2 linked regions of the Macaca fascicularis genome follow. The protein of the gene in region 2 interacts with the protein of the main gene of each other region in a biochemical or structural test. Links are inferred from orthologs where the notes say so. Each region holds a gene or a part of one and is shown on either strand. Other genes may lie near its edges. The genes, in order: WAC and VCPIP1.

What was found.
Region 1: the proteins of VCPIP1 (region 2) and WAC form a complex in vitro, tested with the Homo sapiens proteins (2 studies listed by BioGRID). The link is inferred for Macaca fascicularis from reciprocal best matches to the Homo sapiens genes VCPIP1 and WAC.

The regions. Positions count from the first base shown.
Region 1 is NC_088383.1:29,313,257-29,317,077, reverse strand, and holds part of WAC (WW domain-containing adapter protein with coiled-coil), read right to left. Parts: intron 3,412-3,821; coding exon of another isoform or gene 3,288-3,411; exon of another isoform or gene 3,171-3,287; intron 2,555-3,170; coding exon 2,365-2,554; intron 1,097-2,364; coding exon 969-1,096; intron 1-968.
Region 2 is NC_088382.1:76,653,451-76,657,725, forward strand, and holds the start of VCPIP1 (deubiquitinating protein VCPIP1), read right to left. Parts: upstream 3,053-4,275; 5' UTR 2,806-3,052; coding exon 99-2,805; intron 1-98. UniProt on the Homo sapiens protein: Deubiquitinating enzyme involved in DNA repair and reassembly of the Golgi apparatus and the endoplasmic reticulum following mitosis. Necessary for VCP-mediated reassembly of Golgi stacks after mitosis.

The sequences.
Region 1 (3,821 bases), on a different chromosome or scaffold from region 2:
AACACACAAACCCCACAGTTACCCAGATTCCCATGAATGTAAAAATATTTCCTGTTTTTACTCCTCTCTTCTGGGAACTATAATATTTATTGCCTGTAGCCATGAATTAGGCATAATCAGGCTGGCTTGATATTTGACTGTATATACTGTTTCCTAAGATGCAATAATGAATTCCTAAAAGTAGAATGATGTAACAAGCCAAAATGAAGTTTATGTTAGAATTACTTTCAGAGCAATCTGAGAGTACAAGAACCCAAGTTGTTACTCAAAGAGTACCTCTAGATATTTTAGTAACTGTAAATAAACTTACTTTTTCAAGTTGTACTATAAACTCCATTTGGTATTTACTAAATATTTATGGTTTCTTGACAAGATTAACTCTACCTGTAACTCTGTGACTTGCACAGACAGGACATAAAGCCACTGCCAAGTCTGTCCTCAATTCTGTAATAGGCATTAAAAAAAAAATACCTATGCTATTATTATTGTGACGTAGATATTCTACTTGAGTGAAACACTAGATCAAGAAATGCGACACAAGAGTTCAGGTGAAAAATACTGAGACAGCAGATACACTAAACTTGCTAGACAAATTCTTTCTATACTTTTCAAGAGATCTATTGGTGATGCAAGGACAAATAATCAGAAATTTCAATGGAAACACCCTCAGCAAGAGAGAACATTTATAATCAGTTGTGGTCAATATTTCATTTTTTTAATATATTATTGCAGCTTATGGAGTTATGAGAAAAGTCTAATGAAGCATTCATCATGGGTTAAGAGAAAATCGACAGGCTTTATCCATCACGAGGAATATTAATAACTTATGAAAATGCAATGATAGAATGTGATCAATGTATCAAAGAGAACTTTACATTTCATAAATAAAATGTCATTTACATTCTTTAGTTCGATTTAAGAATCATAATCCTGAGCAACATAAAAATGTATTTCAGTGAAAGACTTACCTTTGCTCTCGCAAAGTTGCTTGAATTTCACATACTCGGACTAAAGATCTTAAATTTTTTAATTCAGTACAAATTTCTGACATGTGAATAGTTCCCATGTTATGCGCTTCTTCGCGTAATCTTGATGCCTGTAATTAATGAACAAAACATAAAATATAAACATTAACATACACAAAATAAAACATTACATTTCTGAGTAAAATTTTATATTTAAGATTAGAGAATAATCCTTCTCCCTTAAATACACAAAAATGCTGGTGAATCTAATGGGGAAAATTAATTTCTTTTAAGAAACTGTCTATAAGGGTGGAAGGTACTTATTTTAGTATTTCTCTTCCAAGTTGGAGAAAATAGGATTTCCAATCTGAAGCTAATACAGCACTAAGAAAGAATGACGCATAATTTGTGGTTAATAAAAGATGCTGGGTCAGCCAAAGAGACTGTCATTTCTGCAAGTTCAGGAATTAGGTATTGATTCAAGAGCCTCACTATACTCCTCTCTATGGTAAGACACACGACATATTCTCTGCAAACTTTCGAACACCCCAGATGGTCAGTTATCTGATAAAAAGAGGCAAATCAACAGTAACTGGAATGTCCTAAGGTGTCTCACCCCAAAGCAAAATAAAACATTTTTTTTTTGGCGGGGGGGGGACAGAGTCTTACTCTGTCACCCAGGCTGGAGTGCAGTGGCACAATCTCGGCTCACTGCAACTTCTGTCTCCTGGGGTCAAGTAGTAATCCTGGTGCCTCAGGCTCCCGAGTAGCTGGAATTACAGGTACATGCCACCACGCCTGGCTAATTTTTGTACTTATGGTTAGAGATGGAGTTTCACCAATGTTGGCCAAGCTGGTCTCCAACTCCTGGCTGGCCACAAGTGATCCACTTGCCTCGGCCTCCCAAAGTGTTGGGATTACAGGTATGAGCCACTGCACTTGGCCAGTAGATTAACGGTGCTAATGGATTCTGAAACTATCAGAGCAGCTGAGTGGAAAAAGTACACTGGCTTTGAGCCACATCACTGTGTTAATGGGGTGACCTTGGGATCAAGGTTTTATGGACTATTTGGTCTTAAGGACTTCAATGGCAAAATGAGAAAACTCTTATCTACACTGCTTAGCTGTTTTAAGAAGTAGAGAAAATAAATATAAGGCAATAAGCACTGAGCTAACTGCTGAGTACCTGACAACAGGGGCTATAATTATGTTAAAATATTTTGTAAAACCAAAAAAGTTACCTTATATGTCAAATATTTTTTAAATGACTACAAAGTTAGAGATTTGTTATTTTAAGTATTGCTTGAATTCAGTGGTCTACATTAGATTTTCTAGAAGTTGATTAAGTTCTGTTTTGCTAATCACCCAAAGGTAAAATCTAGGCTGTACGTTAACATACCTGCTTCTCTGCATGATCTGCAGGCCATCCTTGAACGTGTTTTATGAGATTTTCACTGAAGTGTGCTGCTAGTGCAGGCGTTAATGAACACGTGGATCGGGCAGAAGAATTCTGTGGTACGACTGTTGCATTTGATGCATTACTACTATTAGAAGTATGATTGGGACCAGGTGAAGGACTTCTCTGGCTACTAGAAAACAGAATTGAATGTGTAATATGTTTAAAAGTAGTTTCTGGGTATCCTTATCCTATAAACTGCATGTTAGTACCTTTTATTAACTTAAAGATACCCAAATTCCTAAGAAAAATTTGTTATTTTAACATCAAATAAAGAGAATTAACAATCCAAAGTATATTATTCCTCAAAACACTTTAGGGGGAAAAAGCCTTTTTAACACGACTGTCAGAGTCTAATGTAAACTGTACTCTCCAAATCTGAGAGCAGAACCTGTTAACTTTGTGTACCACAAACACTAATAAGAATATAACTAAAAAATGGTCACATTTTAACAGCTATAGATATAATGCACATGTGAAGACTGTCTCATATACATCTAGGTAAGGGGAAAATATATATTGCCTTTGTTCAACGTCAGAACTGCTGAATCAGAGGGTGAAATAATGTGAAGCAAAATACAAACATTTTGTTGGATAGCACTGAGCAAGCATAGTGGCAAAACAAAACCAAAAAAATAACACTCTGAGATTGTTTATCTTCTTTTAAAACTGAATGGTTTGGGCCAGGGTTGGGGATATGGTGGCGAGAACCAAAAAATTTAATCACCCAAGTTGATCTCCTACCTGCTTCACCAGACTTGGCTCTGAATGAATTTCAGTTATTTCCAAAAACTAAATCTCCCAAAGGATGAAGAGTTTTCATCACTGAGGATATTTAAAATAATACTGCAGCCTCTAAAAACAATTTAAAAGAAGAATTTCCCAAAAATGTTCTGAGCAATGGCAACATTGCTGGAGTAAGTAGACAGCTTCCCAAGGTGATTAGTTTGAAGGGAACAACTCTCATTTGGAGGTATAAGTTCTGAAATGCTTGTTTAGAAAACAACAATAAAAACAACAGTTCAATTATTTTGCTACCTCATAGCATGAAATAAAAAATAGGAAAATCAATCAAATGAAAACCATTCATTCAACAAATGTCATTTAAAGTTGTGTTGTTAATGAACACAGAAAAGTGCTAACACAATACAGCAGTATAGAACTATCTAAAAGTCATCTGTATAGGGTCACAGTTAAGCTACTGGGAAAGCCTGACATACACGGGAAACATCGGCCCAAGTTTTAGATAGGAGACTTTGGCTTTCATCAATATACTCAAACCAAAACTGCTATGAGGAGGTTACAAAGCAATGTAATTCCAACAAATATTGTAAAATCATGTGCCTTTCTGGTACAAGTATCACAAATCTTTACCCCATCATATTCCACTGTGTAAAATT
Region 2 (4,275 bases):
ACAATGGCCACAGATTTCTTTTCCCCCAAAGACAACAGGAAAACTCAGTGTATTATATTTACAATTAAGATATACCATCAGAATTAAATGTATCTTACCCATTAATGTTGCTAAAAGACACAAGGAGTACATTTCTTTTTCAGCTTGCTCCTGAAGTTCCTTAGATGACAGTTTACCAGTAACAGCAATATCTTCTTGTTTCACAGTGTGGGCTGAGTGTGCTGCAGCAGACTGACCACCTTCAGCTTTACTTTTTAGAATTTCTATTGTAATTCTGTCGCCGTGCTGTAAAGGAACTGGTTCCTTTTCCATTCCTGCCTGTGGTGGCATTAACTCTTTAGGAGGAAACCCGTATCGAATACACTGTAAATATGGAGGAATGTTGAACTCTCTGGCTATACTTTCCTGAAGTTCAAAAAAGGTTGTTGAAGACTTAAGGGTAACCATGGACTGTCGTCCATCATTAGTTGTGATTCGGATCTTCTTCTCCTTAGAAGTTGTAGGTGAATAGGGAGCCTTGGTAGGTGTAGCAGGTGCAGAGGATGGACCATCACGAATGGTACTGGGAGAAACAGTCCTGGGTTGCCCTTTTTGTTCTTGTTTTAACTTCTCTGTTTTCCGTTTCTGCATTACAGAAGCCTGTTCCGTAATATTCTGTTGAATAGTTCTTTCAGTTTTACTCATGTTTAACTCCTCCTTGTGCAAAGTTTTTGTTTTCTGTCCGGTAAGAATAATTTTAGTTGGGAGCTGAGACTCTGATTCTTGTCCTTGAACATCTCCAACTCTTTGGGCATGAGCACCATCTATATTTACAGGAGTATAATCATCGGGATTCTTTTTGGCAGTCTGATGCAATATAGTGTGGACAACTTTCTGAACTAGGATTTCACTCCCAAATTCACCTGGAAAGTGCTTGGTAACAAGTTTCATTGCAACATCGTAAACATTACTATTCAAAGATGAATCACTTTCATACTGGAACCAATATACTGTCTCTCTGACCACTCTTCCACCCCATTCTAAAGTAATAGGGAAAGCTTCTGGTAGATTGTCATACTCCTTACCATCCCAAAAGTGTTTGAATCCACAACCACATTTGCCACCAGTGGACCTAGAATTAGTTCTGTCTCCATCCAAATACACAATAGAACCATCTCCTCTGACCTTTCGCACAGATGTGCCATGGCACCAATTACAAGCTGTTAGGTTACTCAATCCATAGTCTGGTACCAGAACATCTTTCACTGAATCATATGAGCAAACCAAATTGTTCAAGGGAAAGCTATAATTTTTGTCAGTCCTCAGCTGTCCATGAGTACTTTTTGCCAGGTTATACAATTTCCCTCCAGGAGCCAACCACTCTGGAGGAACATGAAGTTCAGAAAGGGCACCACAGAGCAAACATTTGTGAAGGCGATTATCCATTACTGCTTTTTTAGCAGCTGCTGTGACTTCTTCAGGCTGAACTCCTATCACTCCAGTCCTTCTGTAGAAATACTGATGGACATCAGCAACCAAACTAGGATGGATACCATGTTTGTCCATAAAGACTTCTTCCATAGCAGCAACAAGCCTAAGTAAGTATTTATCTTGCAAACTTCTGTCACCTCCAATAACACAACCACCATCCTCTTCAAGTTTGATGTACTTTTTAATAAGGTCCTGAGGCACACCCCATGCTTTAGGAAGCAAATTCATAGGCAGTTTGGGCAAAGCAGCCCCTTTTATGCCTACCAAGGGGATATAATGGTTTCTACCGGAGCTGCTCCATGCAATACAGATTGGTTTGTTCAAATGACCATCTTTCCCAGTGCATTTCTCTGCAGGGATGAGCCCAGGTAGAAAGGTGGCTGAATAATCACCAGAGCTTCTCATGCCACTGAGGGAATCTAACAGAATAATAGGACGATGTAACACATTGGCAAGACCAAATATGTGGATATTCCTCAGGCCCAAGGGAACACCCTCAGGTGGTACAAACAGAGGGTCACACTCATTGATAATGTCCTCCCACTCAGCGGCATCAATGAAGTCATGGAACAGAGCTTGATATCGGGCCAAGTGCTGCTGAAAGTGCTGTTTAAGATTCTCTCTTAAGGCATGCCAGAAGAGCTCTCGGCCTACTAGAGCACGAGACACAGCATGCACCAGGCAGTGTCCATCCCCGTCCACATGCACTGGAATGAGACATTCCTGACTTTTATTGGCCCGCTTAATGTCCTCCAGAGTATCATGCAAATACAGGAGGCTTCCGGAGCGGTCCTTGCCATAGCCCACAGTGTTAACATGCTCTGGTTCTATGAGGAAGGCGCGGTCGCCCAGTAAGGCGCAATCGAACAGTTCGCCCTGGTTCATGTCCCGGAGAAGCTTGGCCCGGCCTGTCTGTTTGTCCATTCCATAGCGAGCTAATATGGGCGACAACAATTTGCAGTGATAGTTGGAAAGGCCCATCACCTTTACCAGTTCCGTGTTCTTCTTGGGTGCCCCCGTCACCCCGAGCAGCGCGTTCCGCAGCAGGTTGTGTAGCACTACGTCCGGGTCGGTCACCTCCTCAACCCCCAGCAGCTGTTGCTGCTCGTGCCGCTGGCCGCACTCGGTACACTCGATGCTGACAGAACCGGAGGCCGGGAAGAACAGACGCGCCTGGCACTTCGGATCCGGGCAGCTCCCGGAAAGGATTCTCCGGTCTCTCCGCTTCAAAAGCCCTCCCGAAGCAGCCGCCGACGCCAGGGACGACGGAGTCTGTGGAGCCTCAGGGGGAGGAGGTGGCGGCGGCAGCGGAGGCGGCGGCGGCGGCTGAGACATAGCTCCCGGCTCTCGTGTCTTGCTCCGCGTCCCAAGCGACCCTCAAAAGCTCATAGCCCAGACCCCCACCAACCCGACTCGGTCTAATCCAGGCCCAGGGTGAAACACTTTCCTTTCCCTACCAGCTCCTCCTCCTCCTAAGCGAAGGCGGAAGCGCCGGACGTTGTTTCTCTTCTTACTTCTCCACTGCCGTAGCCGTTGCCCCGAACGTAACGGCCACCACCCCACCCCGCACTCACACTCACTCACTCTCGCTCTCTCCCTCAGACACAGACATACACGCCCTCATTGCGTGTGCGCAGGCGCAGCTTCCGCTCTGCCCTCTGGGAATTAGAGTCTCCTAGCCTCTGTGCTGGCCATCGAGCCCTAGGATCTTGAGTCCAGAAGGAACTACAAGTACCGTGAGGCCAAGCGGTTCAGCGCTAGCGGGGAGGAGGAAGAGGACGGCAAGAGGAAAAGGGGCCAAAGAAAGATGGTGACTCGCGTTGCCTGCCGGTAGTTGTAGTTTTGCTGGGCTCCCCTTCGTCTTCTTCCCCACTCTGCAGCCCAAGCCAAAGAGTCTGAGAGACCACATTTCCTAGGATGCCGTGCGGTGCGTCCAGCTGCACTTCCTCCTTAGGCGGAGGGAAGGATTCAGGGAAGCTTGGTTAAAACCAGAGTTAAAGGCAGTGGGAGTCGAAGGAGAGGGTCTGAAGTTCACGACTACTAGAAGGGGAGGGGAGTGGAAAGGATCTCAGTGAAAAAGGTACAGTAAATAAATGTCCAGGGATACTGTGGGCTGGGAAATTGAATAAATGGTCCAATCTAGGCTGAAAGCCATAAGGGGGAAAATAGTTGATTCTCGGAAGCTCTGCCTTCTCCCCCTCTCTAGTGCGAGTCACTGAGGCGCCATTTGAGTTCCCGTTTCCTGCGTGTCTTGGCAGTTTACAGTACAAATAACGGTACCTTGGATGTCTGTAGAGTTTTATGTGCATGTACAAAGCCTCTTAACTAGGTTTAATTTCATTTGTTCTTTACCACCCTAGCCCCCTACAGAGTAATAAGAGCTATCATTTATAAAGTGCTTAATATGTGCCTGGACAGCATTTGCATAACACGATTATCATTTGATCTTAAAAATAACCTTCTTAGGAAACAGGCCCAGAAAGGAAATGACTTGCCAAAGTTCACGCAGCTGATAAGTGACTGGATAGACCTTCAGATCTCAATCCGTCCTCTTTTTACAGATAAGGACATAGGCAGGAAAGGTTAGGCCTGTATTACATAGAATAGTAACTAGCATTTGCTTACTATTGCCTTATAGTTTACATTTTAGTAATATGTTCACATGTATCATCCTCACCAGTCCTGTAATACCTTTACCAGGTGGTGTTGACTTCATTTACAATTAGGGAAACTGAGACTAAAAGGAATTAAGTAACTTGCCCAAGGTCAAGTCACCAGTTACGCTGGATCCCAATCTCAAACCTA